3 linked regions of the Nothobranchius furzeri genome follow. The protein of the gene in region 2 purifies or fractionates together with the protein of the main gene of each other region. This does not show direct contact. Links are inferred from orthologs where the notes say so. Each region holds a gene or a part of one and is shown on either strand. Other genes may lie near its edges. The genes, in order: arcn1b, copb2 and copz1.

Region 1 (3,578 bases), on a different chromosome or scaffold from region 2:
CCCAGCCACTTGGGCCAGCTCCTCCGGGGGAATCCCAAGGTGTTCCCTGGCCAGCAGAGACACATAGTCCCTCCACCGTGTCCTGGGTCTACCTTTAGGTCTCCTCCCGGTTGGACGTGCCCAGAAAACCTCACCAGGGAGGCGTCCAGGAGGCTTCCTGACCAGATACGCGAGCCATCTCAACTGGCTCCTCTCGATGTGGAGGAGAGGCGGTTCTACTCCGAGCCCCTCCCGAATGACCGAGCTTCTCACCCTATCTCTAAGGGAGAGCCCAGCCACTCTTCGGAGAAAACTCATTTCGGCCACTTGTATACGCGATCTCGTTCTTTCGGTCACTACCCAAAGCTCATGACCATAGGTGAGGGTAGGAACGTAAATCGACCGGTAAATCGAGAGCTTCACCTTCCGACTCAGCTCTCTTCACCACGACAGACAGGTACAACGCCCGCATCACTGCAGATGCAGCACCAATCTGCCTATCGATCTCACGCTCCAGTTGTCCCTCACTCGTGAACAAGACCCCGAGATACTTAAAACTCCTCCACTTGGGGCAGGACCTCATCCCTGACCCGGAGAAGGCATTCTACCCTTTTCTGACTCAAGACCATGGTCTCAGATTTAGAGGAGCTGATTCTCATCCCAGCTGCTTCACACTCGGCTGCGAACCGCTCCGGCGAAAGCTGTAGATACGTTCTGATGAAGCCAAGAGGACCACATTATCTACAAAAAGCAGACCTGATCCCCAGGCCTCCAAAATGGCTGCCCTCCACACCTTGGCTGCACCTAGAAATCCTGTCCACTAAAGTTATGAACAGAATCGGTGACAAAGGGCAGCCTTGGCGGAGTCCAACTCTCACTGGGAACGAGCCCGACTTACTGAAAGAAATGAATCATTTCTAATAAATAGTGAGTTGGATCATATTAGATAAATGTGAAGAGAAAAGGCCAAACAGCTACTTGTGACACAAGGTTAATACACACCCTGATATATTCATTATTACCTCAGTAAATCAGAGGATATTAGTAACACACAACCTGCATGTGTGCTACAGACAGAGAGAGTAGCATTAAAGTGACAGTGTGTATTTTTCCTGGCGATAGGGGGCAGTAGATACCTAAATAGTTGCAAGCAAGCTGCATTTTTGTGTGGAGTAAGACCTTACCTACGGATGCCCTTTAGGGTCAAAAAAGCTCTGGGGAGTGCAAACTTTAGCAAAATGACAAGCACTCCCTTTCATCACCGGCAACTAGTGAAGAGGTAAAGGTGTAAAACAACATTTATGAACGGTGAAAGTTTAGTAACCGTTTGTCGGTAAATCAGTTAATGTGTTTTGTCCTCATGGGCTCCTGTAGAAGGAAGCACGGCATCGCTCAGGGACTTAGACCCACTCCTGTGTATTTTAGACCTAATTTATACGGTTATATGTTAAGAAGCCAATAATATTTTACAACAATTGGGCATCATTTCATTCATTTTCAACAACAATTTATTGGATATTTCCAGATATTAAAAAAACTACATATTGTCCTTTTAACCTCCAGTGTGGAAAAAAAAGTGTGTGTCCCAGAAGCAAGTTGTTTTTCCTCAGAGGACACCATCTAGAGGCAGAGAAATGTACTGCACCTTAAGCCTCACCCTAATTCAGTGACTAAGGCTGGAAGCAACACCTCTCGTTTGTGGACGCACACATCTAGCCAGCAAACATGGCTCATGTTCTTCTCATGTTGTGCTGTTTATTCATATGTGTACATTTGAACACCTACTCATCCATAGAACTGCCTCCAACTTTGCATCAGTTCAGGTACGTCCCTGCTCATGCACAGCAGATTAGTATCCCTTTGGCTAATGCTGAACGCTCAATTCAAATAGCATGGGGCTCTGTAGGACTGGGGGGGGGGGAATCATTGACCTACATTACATCACTTTTACGGATAAAAAAAATCCTACAGAACTCCTGAAAGGGGGAAAACTCTGGATTGCAGCTTTAGGCCCTGTCCACATGTAGCCGGGGATCTGCAAAAACGTAGATATTTTACTACATTTTGGCCTGTCATCCACACGAAAACGGATCTTTTTAAAAACTCCGGCCGAAGTGAAGATCTGCGTTTTCTCCGTTTTGGGTGTCTGCGTGTGGACGGACAAAACCGGAGTTTTAAGGTCCGCAACGTCACTTTCCGCGACAAAAAAATGCTGACATCACGTGTGCGACCTGTGTTTACACTAGCCGACAGCATGGATGTCCTCAGAGCTGCGCTCGCTTTATCAATTGTCCAAGCGCTTTTTGCTTGTTTGTTTTTGCAAGCGGAATTACTGCTCCTTGCGGAAGACCACAGAGGAAGGACGAGGTTAAGAACGGGAGAAGTACTGCCGCCTACAGGTCTGGCATGTCCTTAACAACGTATTTATCCGGCTACGTGTGGACTAGGCCTTAATGACAAATCCACTCCATTAAGGCATCTAGTTAATCTCTATGGTGATCAGCAAATCTGTCAGCACTACAACCATCCCATAATTTGCTCAAGTTAAGCTCAAACAAAAGGCTAAAGGACCAAGCACTAAACTATGTTTACCTGCAGCTGTAGTCCTTTGTTGTCATTGTTGTTGATAATGAGGCGGATGCGTCCGTTTTTGTCATCTGTGACCCGAAGCGTCACCATGCCAAGCACTTCCATGTTCTGCAGGCCACCATCACGGCCACAGGTCAGCGAGATCTTCTCCTCCACACGCAGGTGTACGCTGAGCAGAAAACACAGCCACACAGATGTAAATAAAGATCAAAGCAGTCGGGTTTAAATAAAAACAACATTATATCATGGACATCCAGATGTAAGCTCCAGCATCAGATCAGGGTCTCTTTTTATAACTTCAGTGTGGTAATCTCCAGCTACAGGGCAACGTTGGTGTTTCTGCTAATATGTGAAAATCCACAAACTTTGAGAAGCTGTAAAACCCAAAAGAAAGCATTAAAATCAGGATGGGTACCAAATTCGGTACTTTTTAAGGTACCGATCGAATTCCACAGTACCGACCGAGCACCGATTCACGTCATTTCAAACGGTGCCTCGTTTCGGTGCCCGTCCTTCACAACGAGAACTTGCTAAGACAGCTGCGCATGTGCAAGAGCGTTATGTCGTTGGTCGCTGCGAGCGAGTTGTAAACAGAGCAGCATGGTAGAAAGAAGGCACGCTAACGCTTGGGTCCACTTCACTAAATGTGATGGCTAACTGGGTGATGATGAAACCAGCGACAACGATCTAAGTGAGACATCCTCATCTTAATCTGCTCTGGTAGGTAAATAAAATGTTTAAGATACCGTTAGCTTGATTTGTTAGCTTCCGTTTCACTAATGGTGCGTTCGCTTTCTCCTCGGAACTCCGAAATTCCGACTAGAAGAACATGAACACGCTCTAAAGTTTGGCTTCACTTTACTAAATGCGACGGGTGATTGGGTGAAGATGAAACCAGTGACAACGATCTAAGTGTGAGGCATCATCGTTTTAATCTGCTCCAGCAGTTAAACTGTTTAAGATAACGTTAGCTTGATATGTTAGCTTCCTATGCCACTATCGTTATCATC
Region 2 (4,193 bases):
CTGTCACAAGTGAAACGCGTGTTTTTACCTTCCATTAGGGTTATGCTGGATGGTTTGAGGGTAAATCTCACAGCTACCCATGTCTTTGACAGCCAGTGGCAGTCTCTCCCCATCTTTGATTTCTGCATCCCCCATAGCCTTCAGGTTAGCCTGCTGTATTTCACTGTGCTTAGCCCAGATGATTTTGCCATTAGTGTCCATAGACATGGCTGGCTCCTCCCGACCAACCTACACCGCAGAGTAAAACAAGCGTACACATTTTTACTTTTACCGTTTATTTCATTTTAATGTGGATTTCTTTTAAAAAGTTAATTTTGAGGCATTAGTTTAATCCAACTTTAGATTAAATCTTCCTTTTACTCACTTTGATGATGATGCTGCCTTCATCGTATCCCAGTGCCACATTGTTGGATCCCCTGAGGCCACACACACACCACACTCGTTCCATGCCGTAGTTCAGGGTGCTTTCCAGGCGATAAGTACTCGAGTGCCAGATTCGAACCGTACCTGGAGAGGAAAGACGACGATATTGCACAAAACAACAACATAAGGAGAGGACGTTCCTGTGGATTTTATGGTTGAGGGAGATTTTTTCTCACCATCCTCTGATCCCGTGATGATTATGGGTAGTTCTGGGTGGAAGCTGACACACGAGACATTTTGGGCATGACCTTCCAGAGTCTGAACACAAGTCTTGTTCTACAACACACAGAGAAAGAGGGATATAAATGTATGTAGAGGAAATGCTAGATAAAACTTACAAAGACCAAAAAATAAAATCACCATACCTAACTTGGGCTTTTTCTAATGCGAGATAAAACAAATAGTCTGTACTTTTTCAAATTAATGCAGTTTTCCCCATTTGGTGACTTACTTTAAATTCTGTGTACATGCCACTATAACTATAACCAAATAAAACTTCTCTAACCTGGTAGTCCCAAATTTTGACTTGGCGGTCATCAGCCCCTGATATCAGATAGGGCTTGTCTCCTCCACTGTAGTAGTCAATACAGTTTACTCCCTTTTCGTGACCCTCCAGAGTGAAATTAGGAGATGAGGAGCCCAGCTGCCAAACCTGTACAACACAAAGAGAGAGAGAACTGTACAAAAATAATCAGACACAGTACGCTTCTTACCACTGACTCCTTTGCACCAAATCAAATATAAAGGAGCTGTTGATCTTACACACATTCATTAAAAACAATAATCTACACTTATATACAGTTTTACATTCCATTTATCCATTTGCACAAACAGAAAAATCTACCTTTATGGTTCTGTCCAGAGAAGCGCTCGCAAACTGGTTGTTGTCCTTGGGGTTGATGACGATCTGCATGACGTAATGAGTGTGACCCTCAAACACCTGACTGCATGTCCACTTTTTCTCCCAATCCCAAAGCTTGATCAGCATGTCGTCTGCACAAAGATAAAACACAATCACGCTCAAGTGCCCAAAAAAAGGATACATAAGCCTAATCAGAGCCACAGCTGCATTTAAAGCTGTAGAAAATATAGGTTTAGTAGGGTAAATAGTGTACCACTGCTAGTGAGGATGTATGGCTGAGTTGGATGGACAGCAATGCAACGGATGTAGTCAGAGTGGGCTTCAAACATGTGGACCCGCTCCAAGGTGTTGTAGTTGAACACACGGATCTGCATGTCATCCTGTGAAGAGAAAAGAAATTATGAATAAAGTAGAAAAGTGTAGTTTTTCCTAAGTTTTCTAGTAAAAGTTTTAACTCTAAAATAACATCAAATAGCAGTTTTACACTAATATACATATATATATACATATATATATATATATACATATATATATACATATATATATATATATACATATATATATACATATATATATATATATATATATACATATATATATATATATATATATACATATATATATATATATATATATATATATACATATATATATATATATATATATATATATATATATATATATTACAGAAGCTTTTAGAGGTGTAGGCTCAAAACAAATAAATTCCTGTGACTCACTGCTCCTGTGATCACCCAGTTCTTTCTTGCCACAAACTTGGAAGCTCTGACAGGCAGGTCACACACTTCAAACGTCTTGACCAGAGTCTGGAATAAAAACAGATCGACTTTGATTGTGATTTTTATAGATGTTTTTCACATATTTGTTTGTTTATATGGTGCACAGATCAAAGGTTTTACTCTTTGGGTGTATTCCATACTTGCGTTTCGTGGTTCCACACACAGACACTGCCGTTGTACAAACTGGCCAACATCCATGGCTCGGTTGGGTGAAGATCCACACTCTTGACCCGGTCCGACCTGGCTGTTAGCCTCCTCTTGATGTCCAGCCTCAGAGGCTTAAATAAAAATAAACCCAATGTGTTAATAGACACTATTCAAACTGTACTTTGTTGCTGTTAGCTAGTAGTAGCAGAACGTCAACTTAACACCAATGTATCAATCATCAGAAACAAATGAAATTAAAACTGTTTTTTTCGCTATTTCAGTTGATCAGTCACACATTCATCTGTGACTAATTCGTTGAAAAATAAGGATAGATATATGTGACATTAACATTTAGGTTTAAACGTGTTTGAGAGACAATATTCTATGCAAACTTAAGCTAGTTAGCCGCTAGGCTCTTTTAAGCATTTCATTCTTTTTGTTTAAAGATTAAACTGAATCTCGGGTGACATTTATCGAAAAGAAGCACACTTATAACTTTCTAAACTACAGCTTACCATATTTTCCGCCCTGGATGTCTTTGCTAGATCCGATTAACGTCCAATCGAGTCCAAATGTTGCGATTTCAGTGAGCAGCGTTCTGCAGGACACTGACGTGGAACTTCCTGAAACGAAATCTCGCGAGAACTGTGTTGGAACTGCTGACGTGACATGGAAGCTTGTAGGTTGCAAGTTATTTTTTTATTTTTTTATTTTTTGTAGGTTGCAAGTTGCTGTTGTAACTCAAATAAAGTTACTGAATTACATGGACATTTTTTAAACAATATTTAAGCTTGTAATTTTAATATTTATTCTAACTCAGTGGTTCGCAACCTGGGATCCGTGAAACCCAAAGATTACAGTGGGGTGTGGGATTACCAAGATTATATTTTCAAAAGTTAAATGTATAAAAGCCCCAAAACACACCAAATCGTATAATCAAAACTCTGCATAAGAAGTATATCTTAGTATGCCTGTATAAAGCTTGTAATTATTCACTTTTGATGTGTTCATGAGGGTAAAGGTTGGGGGTCTTGGTTCGTCCTGGACACAGCTTCCTTATCTTAATCTTCTTGGGAGTATTACTATTAAGGATGAGAAGAAGGATGAGTAGAAGCAGAAGAAGGAACAGGATTTTTTAATTTAAATTGTTACTTAGTAAAAACACTTTCTCTAAATTCTTCCAAATAAAATGTTTTGTTGCCTTGACAGAACGGAGAACTTGTGCCCTCTACTGGCAAAACAACAGAACAACACTTTGGTTTCCAACAGCATTTATAAAAGACGGGGAGATGGGGAGTTGCTGCCCTCCAGTGTCTGAACGCGGGTACTTTTTTTTATTTTTTTAATAATAATAATAATAATGCATTGAACTTATATAGCGCTTTCAAGACACCCAAAGACGCTTTCACACACTCTCACATTCACACACTGCTAGTGATGGTAAGCTACTTGTAGCCACAGCCGCCCTGGGGAGGTCTGACAGAGGCGAGGCTGCCATTTGGCGCCGTCGGCCCCTCTGACCACCACTAACACAGGCAAGTTGGGTGAAGTGTCTTGCCCAAGGACACGACAGCAGGATACACCTGGCGGGAGCTGGAATCGAACCCGTGACCCATTTAGAAGAAAATATTTCAGCCTCCTTATCTTAATTAAGCTGTAAAAAATGTTAATCTTCCATTTTGTCCTCTTGGGAATAATAAAATTAAGGATGATGAGGAAGATGAGTAAAAGCAGAAAAAGGAACTGGGTTTTTAAAGTTAAACTAGAAGCAAAACTCTTCTAAATTATTCCAAACACATGTGTTGTTGCCTTGACAGAATGAGGGATTTGCACGCTAACAAATAAAATACAACACAATGAATAATTAAAGATCATTTATTGATTCAAAATGCTTGGAAAACATGTAGATTCTATTTTTTATCAACCTAGTGACAATAAGGACAGACGCTATTATTTTCTTTTGA
Region 3 (4,360 bases), on a different chromosome or scaffold from region 2:
GGCTTCCTCCTCGGTTTGGGGATTTTGAAATAGCTGTGATATTGTGCAACATTTCATGATTTTACAGTTCTGTTACAAATGTGTACAAACTAAGTTTGGATCTTCTAATTCCTCTCTACAAGCCAAGAGATCTCTTTCCATGATTATTTTGGAACTCAAGAGTAACAGAAGGTAACTGTAAGGCCACACAATGATGTAATTTGTGGATTGAGATAGAGGGAAATCCCCATCAGACTGCTTTTCCAAAAGTTTCCCAGAAGTGGGAAGTAAGATAATTGGAGGTGGTTAAATGTGGGAGGATCCTGTAAAAAAAGATGCTGATGAGAACGAGAAACATAAAACGGGTTGTAAATGGAGAGATTGCTCGTATGATGTTTTTCAATGCAGCAACCGCTGTGTGACACAGAGCTTCAGCTAATGAGTGGAGGAACCTTTAATTTTAAAGACAAAAGTTTTAGTTAGATATTGTTCTAATGATGCTTGAAAGGGTTCCTATGGACATCAAAAAGAAGGATTAGGTTCTAATTTTCTGGTTTAACAAAAGCAAGGAAATAAGATCATGATGTTAGAAAAACATATTTAGCTTTTTACGTTACAGAAATCAAGTTTGTGAAAACTTGATGAAAGAAAAAAGTTCAGTCTGAAATGCTAAACTTATAACTTTGTTGCAAAGCTACAGAATTGCATTTAATTTTTTAAACACTATCCTCCATTTACAAAAAGCAACAAAGTCAACAATGTTAAAGGTGAAACAATTTTAGTAAGCTTGTTAAACGGTGCTTATTGAGTGACAGTAAAATAAAATGCAGATTTGGATTTACGTTTATCATTTTGTGTCACATCATTGCAAAGTAAATGTTATGAAAGATTTTAAGACTTTAAAGTGACTTTCTTTTATTTTCCGTTATGTGACTTTTCAGCTTTTCGATTTATGGAGAAGAGGACAGCTATGGTTGCACCCTTTTCTGTAAAACCACATCCTTTTTTATATTGTTCATCAAAACATTAAACACGTTGCTCTTTAGTCTGCATTAGATGCATTGATGTACTCGAAGTTGCTACTAAATTGGGTACTATTATTTTGAATTAAAATGTTTTTATTTTTGATTGATAGTTTGATTGTAATAATCCAACACTGTATTCACAAATGCAGATTTTTATTTATGATTATTACAAAATGTACTAACTGGAATAATAACATAAGTGCATTTACAAAGTCCCTGAAACTGGTCAAGAATTAGTCAGTCATTTCTTTTGTCCACAGTTTGAAATATTTAATCTAAAATATTCAAATGTTCAATTTAAACACAAAGGCTATTCAGATTTGTTTTATGTTTTTATAACATTTATTTTTGTGCTTATTTTTCCCCAAATTTTTTTAACATTGAAGTTTATAATTTTATAAATTTTTGTTGTTCAAACTCCGTTCAATCTGTGCAGTTTTCAGGTAAAAAAAAAATTCACACATGATGAAGACTGTTTTGTCTATAAAGTTGTTAATAAAGTTTGTTTAAAAAAAGTCAACAGTGACGTAATCCTTGCTCTTACGCACGACGTAAGATGCTGGAATTGATTGTAGGCTAGTGTTAGCCGTGTAGCTGGTTTGCCAACAAGAAAGAAAATGGACTCGCCTATCCTGGTAATATCTAATTTATTTTTTCATGACGGCATAATGTTAGTGAAGCGTTTAACCTCGTAGTGTAAACATTTTTTTAAATTGTCTTCATAATTTAGGCGAAATGCTGCTTATTTAGCATCCTCCCGAGTTAACTTGACAGAGAGCTAACTACAGTGTTAGCTAACTAGTTAGCGTCGAGGAAGTATGTGTCCGTTTGTTGCTGATGTGGAAGTGTCATGTCCTCCACCTGACATGAACAAGAATACCGTCATGACAACATTTTTACAACCGTTTTTGATACATGTCTTAAGACTAAACGATCCTATTATGGCCTAATCACGGCCATTTTTCTTAAACTATCCTTCTTACTACAAACCTTAATTTCTAGTCCTTTATGTTTGTTTAAACACAACGCACTGTACTGCTGTCTTCACAGGAACCCTCTTTGTATACGGTCAAAGCTGTTCTGATTCTGGACAATGACGGAGACAGGCTTTATGCCAAGGTATGACTTTAATCCTGATTCATCTTTTTTACTTTAAATATTTTCTTCAAACACGCAAAGTCTGATTTAATGTCAATATTACAGCTTTTCACTTGGATTAGATCCCCCCAAAAGCAATAAGTTAATTATTCAACACACCTGATACATTTTCATAAATTTTTCATGACCTATTTAATAATAATAGATTTGAGCTGTACACAAACAGTTTTTAGATGTATTTGAAGGTGGTGATTGCAAAGCACTAAAAAAAAACACAGGAGTCTTTTGTGTAATTAGATAGAGAAATTTAATTAGACAAATTACAGGCGTTATTCCTTGGTCTGTTGGTCTGTTTAAAATTTAAGGTGTTCCTGATTTATATGGTTAACTATTTTAATTTTAATTTAATGTATTCATTTTTAAAATGTATCTTATTTACTTTTTATTGCTAAAAATGGTCAAAGCTGATGGCTCCTACCCCCACACCTTAAAGTTTTGTTTAAAAACAAGTTTATTTTTACTGACTCAGTATAATTCACATTATTCAATCCTTGTAATTTTATATCATAATTTTAAATATTGTTAATCATAGAAGCAAAGTTTTAAATGTAAAACTATGTTACTAGGTTTTAAATATGTTTGCTTCCGTAGTAGAAACCGTTTGGCTAACCCCGGCTTTCCACGGGAGCCGTCAGCAGCACGTTACTGCAGCAGCACGTCATAGCTGCTGATAGGAACCGCTGTGGTCAACAGAACCTTTTCCACCGGAGCCGCCGGCAGCCGTCAGCAGCGCGAGTCGGCCGCGTCTCAGGAGCAGCATGTCGCGGCCTTTACGCGCCGGTTCTATTTTCTACGCGCGACGCCTCTGAAACGGGTCAAGTTCGACATTTTTGGGGAAGGAAAGACAGGAAATCGAACGCGGAAATGGGGAGAAGCTCTCGAGATTTTCAGAATAAAGAACGTACTGCCTTCCGGTTGCTTTACTTTTAAAAACAGTTACTAACTGTGCGTCCCCGTGAGAAGTTATCACACAGCTAGTGGTCTCCTTTGTTTTTCAGGTCCGTATTGGCGATTATAAAACGGACAGAACATAAAACACAAACCATGTTGTAGTTTTCTCCTGCTTGTTGTTGTGTTTACTGACGAAGTCACTCGTGTGACTTCGTGCTCGGTCGGTGACAGCTGCTCCCCTGCTGCTTCGCGTCTCGTGGGAAGGGCCAAGCAGCAGCTTACGCGAGCAAGACGTGCTGCTGCAGTAACGTGCTGCTGACGGCTCCCGTGGAAACCCGGGGTTAGTGTCACAGAATCGATAGGGAAGTCAGACCTTTTAGAAACTTAATGTTTCCTATTTTAATGAAGAATATTTTACGTACCACATTATTTATATACTTTAATGTAAAATAATAGATTTATTTGAATTGTTTTAAAATGTACTTTTCTTCTTGGTGTGTCTGCAGTATTATGACGACACATATCCGACGGTGAAGGAGCAAAAGGCGTTTGAGAAGAACATATTCAACAAAACACACAGAACAGACAGTAAGCTAAGCATATTAAAGGTAATTGGTTTGCTTCAGTACATGACTAAAATGTGATGGTATTATTTGTTTGTTTGTAGGTGAGATTGCATTACTGGAAGGCCTAACTGTTGTCTACAAGAGCAATATAGATCTCTTCTTTTATGTCATCGGAAGTTCACATGAAAATGAGGTAAAACTGAAAGAACTTTCATGAAAAGTCAGCCTTTTCTTAATTATAGCAGATAAAACAGTCACATTTTAACTGCTAATATTTTCACATAATTACTATTTGTTGAAATTTGTTCTTTTTCAATAGCTTATGCTCATGGCTGTTCTAAACTGCCTATTTGATTCCCTCAGTCAGATGTTGAGGTATGTCTTGGTAGCAGTTTAGCACAAAATGTCAAATGTTTATAAACCATTAATCTCTCAGATTGGGATTGAGTTATTTCTCTTTAATTTTACAGAAAAAATGTTGAGAGGAGAGCTCTGTTGGAGAATATGGAGGGACTCTTCTTGGCTGTGGATGAAATAGTGGATGGGGGGTGAGTTTGAACCACCAATGATCTTTAACTAAAAACTTTTTCTTTATACTTACTGTGGTGTTTTGGGTTACTTACAGCGTGGTCCTGGAGAGCGACCCGCAGCAGGTTGTGCATCGCGTGGCTCTTCGAGTGAGTATTTCTCATCACAAATGTTCAACACGGTGTGAAAGTGTTGATGTGTGTGTGTGCGCAC

The links.
Region 1: the proteins of copb2 (region 2) and arcn1b fractionate together in Homo sapiens (co-fractionation; 5 studies listed by BioGRID and IntAct, with this or other methods). This does not show direct contact. The link is inferred for Nothobranchius furzeri from reciprocal best matches to the Homo sapiens genes COPB2 and ARCN1.
Region 3: the proteins of copb2 (region 2) and copz1 fractionate together in Homo sapiens (co-fractionation; 6 studies listed by BioGRID and IntAct, with this or other methods). This does not show direct contact. The link is inferred for Nothobranchius furzeri from reciprocal best matches to the Homo sapiens genes COPB2 and COPZ1.

The regions. Positions count from the first base shown.
Region 1 is NC_091753.1:20,850,703-20,854,280, reverse strand, and holds part of arcn1b (archain 1b), read right to left. Parts: intron 2,738-3,578; coding exon 2,572-2,737; intron 1-2,571. UniProt on the Homo sapiens protein: Component of the coatomer, a cytosolic protein complex that binds to dilysine motifs and reversibly associates with Golgi non-clathrin-coated vesicles, which further mediate biosynthetic protein transport from the ER, via the Golgi up to the trans Golgi network.
Region 2 is NC_091751.1:58,296,222-58,300,414, forward strand, and holds the start of copb2 (coatomer subunit beta'), read right to left. Parts: upstream 2,877-4,193; 5' UTR 2,748-2,876; coding exon 2,745-2,747; intron 2,361-2,744; coding exon 2,223-2,360; intron 2,110-2,222; coding exon 2,023-2,109; intron 1,666-2,022; coding exon 1,539-1,665; intron 1,417-1,538; coding exon 1,268-1,416; intron 1,076-1,267; coding exon 929-1,075; intron 700-928; coding exon 600-699; intron 508-599; coding exon 365-507; intron 229-364; coding exon 29-228; intron 1-28. Other genes in the region: retinol-binding protein 2-like, read right to left, coding at 4,180-4,193. UniProt on the Homo sapiens protein: The coatomer is a cytosolic protein complex that binds to dilysine motifs and reversibly associates with Golgi non-clathrin-coated vesicles, which further mediate biosynthetic protein transport from the ER, via the Golgi up to the trans Golgi network.
Region 3 is NC_091755.1:25,754,936-25,759,295, reverse strand, and holds the start of copz1 (coatomer subunit zeta-1), read left to right. Parts: upstream 1-1,508; 5' UTR 1,509-1,621; coding exon 1,622-1,639; intron 1,640-2,054; coding exon 2,055-2,123; intron 2,124-3,559; coding exon 3,560-3,641; intron 3,642-3,720; coding exon 3,721-3,812; intron 3,813-3,938; coding exon 3,939-3,994; intron 3,995-4,089; coding exon 4,090-4,167; intron 4,168-4,244; coding exon 4,245-4,296; intron 4,297-4,360. UniProt on the Homo sapiens protein: The coatomer is a cytosolic protein complex that binds to dilysine motifs and reversibly associates with Golgi non-clathrin-coated vesicles, which further mediate biosynthetic protein transport from the ER, via the Golgi up to the trans Golgi network.